Schizosaccharomyces pombe: one gene and its partners. Changing the gene in region 1 together with any one later gene gives a genetic interaction. Each region holds a gene or a part of one and is shown in the gene's direction. Other genes may lie near its edges.

Region 1 (3,758 bases):
AGAACTTTCATGCTTGATTTGGGAGTGTCGATTTTAAAAAAATTTTTAATTGATAGCAGGGATTATAAAGTAGAAGTTGTTCAAGATTTTTGCTCAAGGAGCTTAACGGATGAGTTTAAGTTTAAATTTACATCACAACCTATAGATTCAAAGTCAGAATCAGATTCTGCTTCTTACATTCGAAACTATTTGGGACCAGAAGGCATTAAACAATTTGGGGGCTCAAACTGGTGGCTTTATCGAAAGTCACCTTTAAAATCCTGGTGGATTGAAAGGCGACATCATATAAGGCACAATCTCAAATGTGATAAAGTTATTTTTTATGTTCATGGAGGTGCTCATTATTTAAGTACTGTTCGTACTAATGCTTATCATATTCAGCGTCATACTGCAGCTCTGGGTGCTAGAACCTTTGCTCCAGATCTGCGGTTAGCACCGCAATTTCCCTTTCCTTGCTCTTTGCATGATGTACTTTCATCTTATTTGTATCTACTTAAAAGCACCAAGCCAGAAAATATAATATTTATGGGCGATAGCTCAGGTGCTGGTTTAATCGTTGCATCACTAGTTTTGATTAGAGATTCAAAATTACCCTTACCTGCTGGAGTAGTTTATGATTCCCCTTGGGTTGATTTGACTCATAGTCTTCCTTCTGTAGTTGCAGATGATGCTGCTGACTATATTCCAAGCGAAGGATTTCATCACCGAGCCAGCAGATATTGGCCCATTACTAACTTAGATTCTTTCTCAACGATATCCGAAAAGGAATTACTAAATTATTCCAAGAAACAAGAATTGACTAACTTTATTGAAAACAGCATACGTAAAAAAATTCAGACCATCAAAAATTTGATCCCCGTGTTGCAAGAGATGGATAAAGAACATGCACGTATTGATTTTGACAATGTGGACTCTCGTTTAGACCCTAACATTTTGACTACATTTCCTTTTCAAGTACAGTTTTATACCTCTAATGCAAATTTAAAGCATCCTCTGATCAGTCCTATCTTCACTGAAAACCTTGGTGGTTTACCGCCGTCACTTGTTCTGGGTGGATCGGGCGAACGCTTACGAGACGAAATAGTGTACATCGCTCACAAAATGAATACAGACGTATACAATGGTAAGCGTACAAAGGTTCGTTTGGAAATGTACGATGATTGTTGTCATGTCGTTACAGCTCTTCCTTTTGTAAAAGAAGCTGGGATTATGGTCCGACGTGCTGCTAATTTTGCTTATTGGTGTTTAAAGCAGCATGATTCGTCTTTTGTATCGCCTAATAAACACCTTGATGGTAATCCGTCTCATGCTAATGAAGATATGGTTCGTTTAAGAATTTCGCGAAATGGTGAGGAACGATTGATGGAGCCTAAAGATGAAATTCAATGTTTAAATTTACCGAAAAGTGCTTTAGGTACTATACAGGTGAAAGCACTCATTCGCTGGATTGACGTTGAATTAATCTTGCTCAGTAAAGACACTAAAAAGCCAGCACGGTACTTCGCTGAATTTAAACACGCCGATTTAAATGGGTATTTAGTCAAGCCCAAAGAGTATACGATGGAAGGGGAAAATCCTCCACTTTCTGCCTTGGTAGCTAACTGTAAAATTAGCCCCGAAAAAAAACAATAATTGCCTGAGACTTGTTTTCATTCTTTTATTTTATCTCTTCTCGATTTCCTTTTTCGTTGAAGTTGAGTTCTTTAGTTATTCACTTTACTTCAACTTATTTATTTTATCAGAAGATTACTAAGGGATATCCACATACGTGCCTAATATCCTGGCAAAAGACGACTGGCTTACTACATTTTAACAGGTATAATTTATTGTTTAACCATTTATAAGTATTCTCTTACATAGTATTGTAAACAATCCATTTGTATTTCGTTGCCATAGTAACATTCATAAATATTTACATTGCTGCGCAGTCATGATTTATACAGCTGCAGCATTGCCAATGTGTTATACTTCTTAATTTAATGTCGTATCTTTCAAAAAATGGCTCTAACGACAACAATAATATTATCAAAAAGCTAGTAGATGCTGAAAAACATTGCAATGCCGTGAAAGACGCGTCTTTTGATGAACGGACATGGATCTGGATTCCTGATTCGAAGGAATCATTCGTGAAAGCTTGGATAGTTGAAGATTTAGGAGAAAAATATAGGGTGAAATTAGAAAGAGATGGCTCGGAAAGAATTGTGGATGGATTTGATGCTGAAAAAGTAAATCCACCGAAGTTTGATATGGTTGATGACATGGCTGCGTTGACATGTCTCAACGAACCATCAGTAGTTAACAACCTTACTCAGCGTTATGAGAAAGATTTAATATATACCTATTCAGGCTTGTTTCTCGTTGCTGTAAACCCCTATTGTCATTTACCAATTTATGGCGATGATGTTGTGCGAAAATACCAATCTAAACAGTTTAAAGAAACTAAACCCCATATTTTTGGAACAGCTGATGCCGCATATCGAAGTTTATTAGAAAGGAGGATCAATCAATCTATTTTAGTTACTGGTGAATCAGGAGCTGGAAAAACTGAAACTACTAAAAAGGTTATTCAGTACCTAACATCGGTCACTGATGCTTCCACAAGCGATTCTCAACAGTTGGAGAAGAAAATCCTTGAAACGAATCCTGTGTTGGAGGCTTTTGGGAATGCTCAGACTGTCCGGAATAACAACTCATCCCGCTTTGGCAAGTTCATACGAATTGAATTTTCTAATAATGGAAGCATCGTTGGAGCGAATTTAGACTGGTACCTTTTGGAAAAATCTCGCGTTATACATCCTTCCTCCAATGAACGCAATTATCACGTCTTTTATCAACTACTTCGAGGTGCTGATGGATCATTGCTTGAAAGTCTTTTCCTTGATCGATATGTTGACCATTACTCATATTTAAAAAATGGTCTCAAGCATATTAATGGAGTCGATGATGGCAAAGAATTTCAAAAATTATGCTTTGGTCTCAGAACTTTGGGGTTTGATAATAACGAAATTCACAGTTTGTTCTTAATTATAGCTTCAATTCTTCATATAGGAAATATTGAAGTAGCATCTGATCGTTCGGGGCAAGCTAGATTTCCTTCCTTAACGCAAATTGATCAATTATGCCATTTACTCGAAATCCCTGTTGATGGATTTGTTAATGCAGCTTTACACCCAAAGTCCAAAGCTGGACGAGAATGGATTGTGACGGCAAGAACACGTGAACAAGTAGTCCATACACTACAATCCTTAGCCAAAGGCCTTTATGAGCGTAATTTTGCGCATTTAGTGAAACGTCTGAATCAGACTATGTATTATTCTCAGTCTGAACATGATGGGTTCATTGGGGTTTTAGATATTGCTGGGTTTGAAATTTTCACTTTTAATAGTTTTGAGCAACTCTGTATTAATTTTACAAATGAAAAGCTTCAGCAATTCTTTAATCATTACATGTTCGTTCTGGAACAAGAAGAATATACACAAGAACGCATCGAATGGGATTTTATTGACTACGGAAATGATTTGCAGCCCACCATAGATGCTATCGAAAAATCTGAGCCCATTGGTATTTTTTCTTGCCTCGACGAGGATTGTGTTATGCCAATGGCTACTGATGCTACATTCACAGAAAAACTTCACCTTCTTTTTAAGGGTAAATCCGATATATACCGTCCTAAAAAGTTTTCTAGTGAAGGCTTTGTTTTAAAACATTATGCTGGTGATGTCGAATATGATACCAAAGATTGGCTGGAGAAAAACAAA
Region 2 (3,758 bases), on another chromosome or scaffold:
ATCCTCGAGGTTTTAGATATCGATCTACTGATTTGGGCAGAATGAGCCGGTCGATTTCTTTTTTCACGTACAGGTGCAGAAGGGGGAAGACTGAAATTCCCAACCGGAGGAAGACGGTTTGGAGATTTCTGAACATTAGGGGTGGATGGCTCAGTTGAATCAACATTATCAGGAAGAAAAAGTTTAAACTCCTCCAACAAATCTGGTGAATCTTTAAAAATTTCAGCGACCCTCGCACGCACTTCAAAAATCGACTTTTGTGCTTTCTGATAAGTGCGCAAAACACCTAAAAATTCCATGTACGTGTCGGAATTTGGTGGATAACGAGCCTTAACTTTGTTCATATAAGCAATCGCATAGTTAAAATCTACCCGAGGCTTCTCGTTTTCAGTACTGGAAACTAAATTTGGAGCAGATGGCTGAGGTTGAGAGTCAGTAGGACTAGTGGATTCCATTGTTCGCTGATCTTCATTAGATGGAGCCACGGGCAATGTACTTTGGACGCCCTGCTGGGGAAGTGGGTGCATAGGAGTACCTACACGTACAACACTAGTGTTTGAAGAGTCCAATTGTACTTCTATTTTGTAACCGGATGGAAGAAACGTGTTAAAGCCTTCAATAAGTTGAGGGTAACCGTTAAACAACTCTGATACACGATTAATAACTCCCAAGGTGTCAAGCGCCTGAGATTTGAAATCGCGCATAATTTCCAAAAATCGATTGTAAATTTCTCGGCGTTCAGAAAAATAATATTTTACTAACTCAAGATAGGAAAGCGCATCGTTCACATCCAAAGGACGATTAGAAGAAGAACTTAATCCTTCTGCATTTTGTGAAGAAATGGAGCCATCTTTACCAGAAATCGATGATAAGGCGAGCGAGGAAACTATGGTTTTTCCTTTTTCGTAATCATCGCGAGTTACACTTCTTTCCGATAAAATCTGTTTGTTTTCAACAGGTTCAGTAGCTACGCCATTATCTTTTCCATCACCATTGTGCAAAGAGGTGTTTACAGGTGACTGGGATTGAGACGGTGACGCTTTTGGTAAATGGTTTTTATCAGATTGTGTCTCAACTTTGTCGCCTATAATATTAGCATTTGTTAAAAACGAACCTCATAAACCAAGATTGTTTCTCGAAATGATGTTTCGCAGAAGAAGCATGTAAAAACTTACCAGGATTGTCGCGTTCTGAGTCGACAGGCACATTCATTACATCCATGGTTAAAAACTCATAAATGCAACAGAAATGACTGCTTTATCTCGATAGTTGCAGTCTTGCAATGTCTGAATCGCGTTACGGGAAAGGTAAGATTGGTTTGTTGTGTTTGACACAAGTAAATGTCATCACGTAACGTGCGTGCTACACACACCTGCCTACCTTAACTAATTTCCAAAACATCAGCAGTTGAGTTGAATTTAAAAATCATTAATTTCATTCTTTGATTAGAGTAAAGAATTTTAATTCATGTTTATTGTGTCAAGAAATTCTGACATCAATTTTTTAGTCGTTTCCTTGCCCCATCTAGCATCTTTGACTGTTCGTTACTTTTGAACGTTGAAAAAATACTATACCCTTTTGCTCATTATTCTCATTTTACGGAGTACGCAGTACAAATTATGGCGCTGCATCTCCTGTACGTTCTCATAGGCTACGCACGCGTTGCATGGCTACCTCGTTACTATGGCATCTGCTTCGTAAACAAACATCGTTTCTAAATTTGTAAACAATGAAATCAGTAACAATTTCGAATGGAATAAAAGCAAGCTGTGGTCCATCATTCTGCTTGTTCTGAGGCTTTGGTATTGATCGTCTTAAGCCCTCTAAAAGCAAGGAATTATCGCTATCTGGAAAATTTATAATATCAAACAACCCAAACACTTTTATTCATTTCTTGCTTTGTGGAAATTTTTGAAAGCATCAACATGAGTTTTCAGAATCCCAGCTATATTAATGCTAAACACCGGTCCTTCTTGCAACCTAAGGACACTCAAGATTCGCAGGATTTACGAAACTGGGTCAGTCACAGTAGTGTAGATGAAGAAACAGCATATTCTAGTTCGACCCTCAGTTCGAGTTCTTCTAAAAGCTTTCCTTGTTACGATGAGTATGATGAGATAAAATCTCCTGACGATCAAAAAGTCGAGTATATGAAGACGTTAAGGACCTTGGAAGAAGATGCTTTTTCTTACACAGATTCAGTTTACGATTTTGAGGAGCGTTCATTTGATGAACACGAGCCACCTATCCCTCCACTTCACAAAACTGGAGTTTTTAGCGTTCCTCTTCAACCAACCCATACTGTGAATAGTAACTCAGACGACGGTTATGAAAATTCCTCCAAGAATGAGTATCTGGACTTTAATTCAGAAATCTCTGCTTCGCCCGTCAATGAACCAATGACGCACAGTCAGTCATACACCTCGATTGATCGCTTGAATTCATCAAGTTCGCACTATTCCAAAGATGTTCCATTATTATGTGGAAGCCTGACTATTGATTGCCCAACGCCAATAGACTTACGTGGCATGCTTGGTCCATTTATGCAAAAAAACCCCGATGAAGCAAGTTTCCTGCGGTATTCGGCCATTACCTGCCAACCAGAAGATATGAATAATAATGGGCTTCAACTACGAACATGGTCCACGGGTCGCGACATTCAAATTGCTGTTTGTCTAACACTTAGCGATGAGGATTTGGCATCTTTTGCCATTTCTCTTTCTAGTATCATGAATAATTTAAAACATCTTTGCTCACGGTCTAAGTCGCGGGTATGGGGAAATGAGAGTTGGGAAAAGGTTTTAGTATGTGTCGTAATTGATGGCCGTAACACTGTTCACCAAAACGTCTTGGACTTGCTTGCATCTATAGGAGTGTATCAACCTCACATTGCTAAAGGGAGAGTAAACGGAAAAAGAACTTTATCCCATATGTATGAATTCACAAGTACCATCAACGTTGATGAGAAACTCAATCTTACAACAGCGACTGGTGACGGAAACGTTCCAATGCAGATGTTACTCTGTGTTAAGGACCGTCGTCTAGGCACTTATAACTCGCATCGCTGGTTTTTAAATGGTATAGCATCGCTTGCTCGTCCCAAGGTTTGTCTCTTTGTTCGTAACGGTGCAAGGCTTGGCCCAACATCTATTTATCATGCGTGGAAAGCTTTTGATGTTGATTCCACTATTGGAGGAATGTGTGGTAAAACTTCGATTGATACAGGAAAGTTTGGCTTTAGACTGTTAAATCCATTCATTGCTTCTCAACATTTTGACCAAATGATCCATAACAATCTTCGCTTACCGTACGACAGCTGCATGGGTTATATTTCAAATGCGCTTAACGCAATTTATGGATTTCGATACGTCGCTTTGCAAGATTCATATCCAAACCCTGGACCACTAGCCGATTATTTCGAGCAAGACCAATATGAAATTCCTAGGAGAGGTATCTTACAATCCAATGCTTTTTTGGCACAAGAACAACTCCTTTTCTGGAAAGTAATCACCCGAAAAGATGCAAAATGGCATTTGCAATATGTACCTGAAGCTTGTGCTACTATTGAAGCGCCCAATTCAATGGCTGGAATACTAGAGTCTAAAAAATCTGAAATTAACAGTAGCTTTAGTCTTGCTGTCTATGTTATAGTTGATTTTTTTTCTTTATGGACTACCCGGCACAAGTTCTTTCGATTCCTTTTGCTCACCGTTCAATCGCTCGTCTTTGCAATTGAGAAGTTGGTGAATTTTTTCTCA
Region 3 (3,509 bases), 1.8 Mb from region 1:
AATCAAAAACTTGAGGCTGCCAAACAACGAATGGACAACATACGGGAAGAATACAAAGTAATTACCCAAGAAAGGAATAAAAAGATTCAGGAGACTGAAAAGAAAAATGCCATGATAGAGATGACCGAACAAAAAATTGCTGGAATGCGAGAAGAACTGGAGTCTCAAATATCCTCTATAACTATGGAATTCGAAAAATTGAAATCGCACGTGGAGCTTTATATTGCTGAACTTCTCAGAAACTTAAGGTCTTCTAACTCTTAGTATCTTCATTTTGAAAAATCTTTATTCGTGCAAATATTTCAACACTACCTATAAGAACGTTGGTTGGACTTCGAAGCCAGAATTTTAGATTTTACAGTAAATGTATATAGGTAAATCTTGGTAATTATTAATATTTTATGACTCTATTTATAATATACCTATGGAACAATCCCTATTTTTACAGTCATCTTCATAGCTGAACGTGACAGGATATTGAAGTATAGGATACTGATTATAGTAAAGCTTTTTTGTAGATTCCCAAAATTGGCAATCTAAAGATATTCGATTAACTTTGTCAAACTTTGGTGTTTTGCCTCTTTGCTGACTTCTGAGACCTCTGCCACGCCTTCCAAACCTGATCAAAAAAGCCTCAATTAGAGCCATTTATCATTCGAGAAAAATTACAATGTGGAGGCCTTTAGAAAATACACCAGAGGTGCTGGAACCTTACTTACAAAAAATCGGTGTACAAGATGCTAGCGTTTTTGACCTGTTTTCATTAGAGGAAATCCCCGAATATATCCCTCGTCCTGTCCATGCTCTTTTATTCGTTTTTCCATCCTCAGGAACAAAAACTATATATAAAGGATCACGAATTTTACCAAAGGATAGTGACAAAGTCTTGTGGTACCCTCAAACAATTCCAAATGCTTGCGGAACGATTGGATTGCTACATGCGGTTTCGAATGGAGAACTTAGAAGAAAAGTCAATGAAAATGATTTTATTAAAAGTCTAATCAGAACTGCTGAAGGTTCATCTATCGAAGAAAGGGCTAAGCTTATCGAGGATTCGAAAGAACTTGAAGCTTTACATGCAGCATTTGCTGGTCCACCTTTGGAAGTAGAGGGGTCTGAGGAAGATGTAGAAACTGATCTTCATTTTATCTGTTTTGTAAAGGGAAAATCAAAGGACGACAATCATTTTTATGAGCTAGACGGCCGCCAAGAGGGGCCCGTGCAACATTCTGAAATTGAAAGTGATTTACTGAATGCCGAAGTACTTTCAGTTATTAAAAATTATATTCAGAGTATTGATTCTCCTTTCTTTTCTCTTGTCGCAATTACGACTCCGTAACCTATGTAAGCTAAATGTTGTGAAACTTAATGAAATGATTACTTTGGCAATTGGAAGTATGATAATAGCCATTTAAAATATTGCTTCTTAAATACCTGTTTCCAACTAATTCCTAGTCTGTATGTGTGTAAATATGAAATTAACAAGCGGACCTCTTTATAATTGTATAACTAAATGATTAAATATTATTGATATATGCCATTTTTCTTTAGCAGTAGAGAGCTCTTAAAATTTCAGTCATAAATACAAAAATCAGGCATTGTTTAAATCACTTCATTCCAAACTTGAAAATCTATTGCAGGAACACTTCGATTATAATTTACAAATGTTTGACTACTGTTTTTAACTTTGCTCTTTTAACGCTTATTTCTTTGATGAAATTAACAATCTGGTGTGTTGTAAGCAAAGCCTCAACTTCTTTGTTCTTTGATGAACAAAGCGCTTTACTGTAGAGCTTGTGTGTATTTCTTTGTAATAAATTAGTAAATAGAACTTTCTTGTACCGTCAATTAATTCACCACCCTTACCGTGGTATATGCATGTCAAACACACCCATCGGTATCTTCCCTCCACCATCAAGGAAAGAAGGAAACAGTAGGAAAATGGATAAGCTTAGAGAGGTATGAGATGATAGCTTTTCATTGGAAAATCAAGTTGCTAATATTTGCTTTTTATTTAGAAAATTAATGCCGCTCGTGCTGAGACTGATGAGGCTGTCGCTCGTGCTGAAGCAGCTGAAGCCAAGTTGAAAGAAGTTGAACTTCAACTTTCTCTTAAAGAGCAAGAATATGAGTCTCTTTCGAGGAAAAGCGAAGCCGCCGAGTCTCAACTCGAAGAGTTAGAAGAAGAAACTAAGCAGTTACGTCTCAAAGCCGACAATGAAGATATTCAAAAGACGGAAGCCGAGCAGTTGAGCCGTAAAGTTGAGCTTTTAGAGGAAGAACTAGAAACTAATGACAAGCTACTTCGCGAAACCACCGAAAAGATGCGTCAAACTGATGTTAAGGCTGAGCATTTTGAACGTCGCGTCCAATCTCTAGAGCGTGAGCGTGATGATATGGAACAGAAACTAGAAGAAATGACTGACAAGTATACTAAGGTCAAGGCTGAATTAGATGAAGTTCACCAAGCTCTTGAGGATTTGTAGATAGCGAAAAGCTTGACGAACATAGAAGAAACATACCACCTTTTTTATATCTTCTATTTGCTGTCATTCTTTTTCTTTCTTACTTTGTCAACTAGCTAAGTTCGACCTCACTTTTTATGGTTTATATTTAGCGAAAAATGATTTGATTTTGGTATGGAACACTGTTTTCTTTCTTTAGTCAACTTACTGGTGTTACCTTTTTACGAGAATCAGTATTTATGATATCAAATGTCTGAGTATTGTAAATTGAGAAGAAATGTGCCCTTATCTTCCCGATTCCCACCACTTTCCCTTCTAACTTAAATAACATTTTGTAAGCATAACTGTCTTAATGTTATCTGAATGATAAGCTTTTATTTTTTTTCGAATGCCAACTCTTTAATAAAGACTTCTATATGATAAATACCGTCTTTATCTTTCCTTTTTTTTACGATGTAAATATTGAAGTTTGCTAGGCTGAAATCGGTATTTTGTAAGTTGTTTATACACGTCTACCTTAAAGTAATTCGTGCAAACGAGTGGTCGTGCTTTTGTTAGGGGATCATTATAGTTAGGTTTGTCTTACTTTATTGTATGAATGACATTCATCTTCAGCGCGGGTTTTTTAAAATCAATCTATTTTGCAGAATCACAATACCTGTTAAACTCACATTTTCTATGAATTTACCTATTTGTTAAATTGCCTTTTATTTTATTTTATTATTTTTTTTTTGGAAATCCGATATCCGTACACGTTGAAGAGCATTGTTAGGCATCGTAAGCATAATCAAAGTTGAATCAACTAAAAACATAAGATGTTAACGTAAATAAAAAGAATATCTTAATGTATTGACATGTATTGCCATTTACATGTTCTACTTGATATAAATTTACATAAACCTTTATCGGAATAACGAGGTACAGGGTTTGCGTTAATGTGCTACTTTGGTTAATGTAGACTTACCGTCGGCTTGTCAACTACCAAAGAGCAAAGAAGGCCAAAGGAACATTTAATATTATTAATTTGGCTTAATAAGAGGGTGC

What was found.
Region 2: mutations in myp2 (region 1) and chs2 are lethal when combined (synthetic lethality), as found in Schizosaccharomyces pombe (one study listed by BioGRID).
Region 3: mutations in myp2 (region 1) and cdc8 impair growth when combined (synthetic growth defect), as found in Schizosaccharomyces pombe (2 studies listed by BioGRID, with this or other methods).

The regions. Positions count from the first base shown.
Region 1 is NC_003424.3:2,551,887-2,555,644, reverse strand, and holds the start of myp2 (Myo3-like myosin II heavy chain myp2), read left to right. Parts: upstream 1-1,941; 5' UTR 1,942-1,979; coding exon 1,980-3,758. Other genes in the region: SPOM_SPAC4A8.06C (esterase/lipase), read left to right, coding at 1-1,632. UniProt on the Schizosaccharomyces pombe protein: Stabilizes the F-actin cables forming the F-actin ring that surrounds the nucleus during interphase. May work in conjunction with myo2.
Region 2 is NC_003423.3:1,093,433-1,097,190, forward strand, and holds the start of chs2 (chitin synthase-like protein 2), read left to right. Parts: upstream 1-1,788; 5' UTR 1,789-1,925; coding exon 1,926-3,758. Other genes in the region: SIN3 family co-repressor, Clr6 and Rpd3L histone deacetylase complex subunit Pst3, read right to left, coding at 1-1,084, 1,176-1,221. UniProt on the Schizosaccharomyces pombe protein: Plays a role in septum formation. Has no chitin synthase activity.
Region 3 is NC_003424.3:4,318,637-4,322,145, reverse strand, and holds cdc8 (tropomyosin), read left to right. Parts: upstream 1-1,910; 5' UTR 1,911-1,941; coding exon 1,942-1,959; exon of another isoform or gene 1,960-1,973; intron 1,974-2,018; coding exon 2,019-2,486; 3' UTR 2,487-2,899; downstream 2,900-3,509. Other genes in the region: protein Nuf2, read left to right, coding at 1-264; ubiquitin hydrolase Uch1, read left to right, coding at 671-1,339. UniProt on the Schizosaccharomyces pombe protein: Forms part of the F-actin contractile ring during cytokinesis.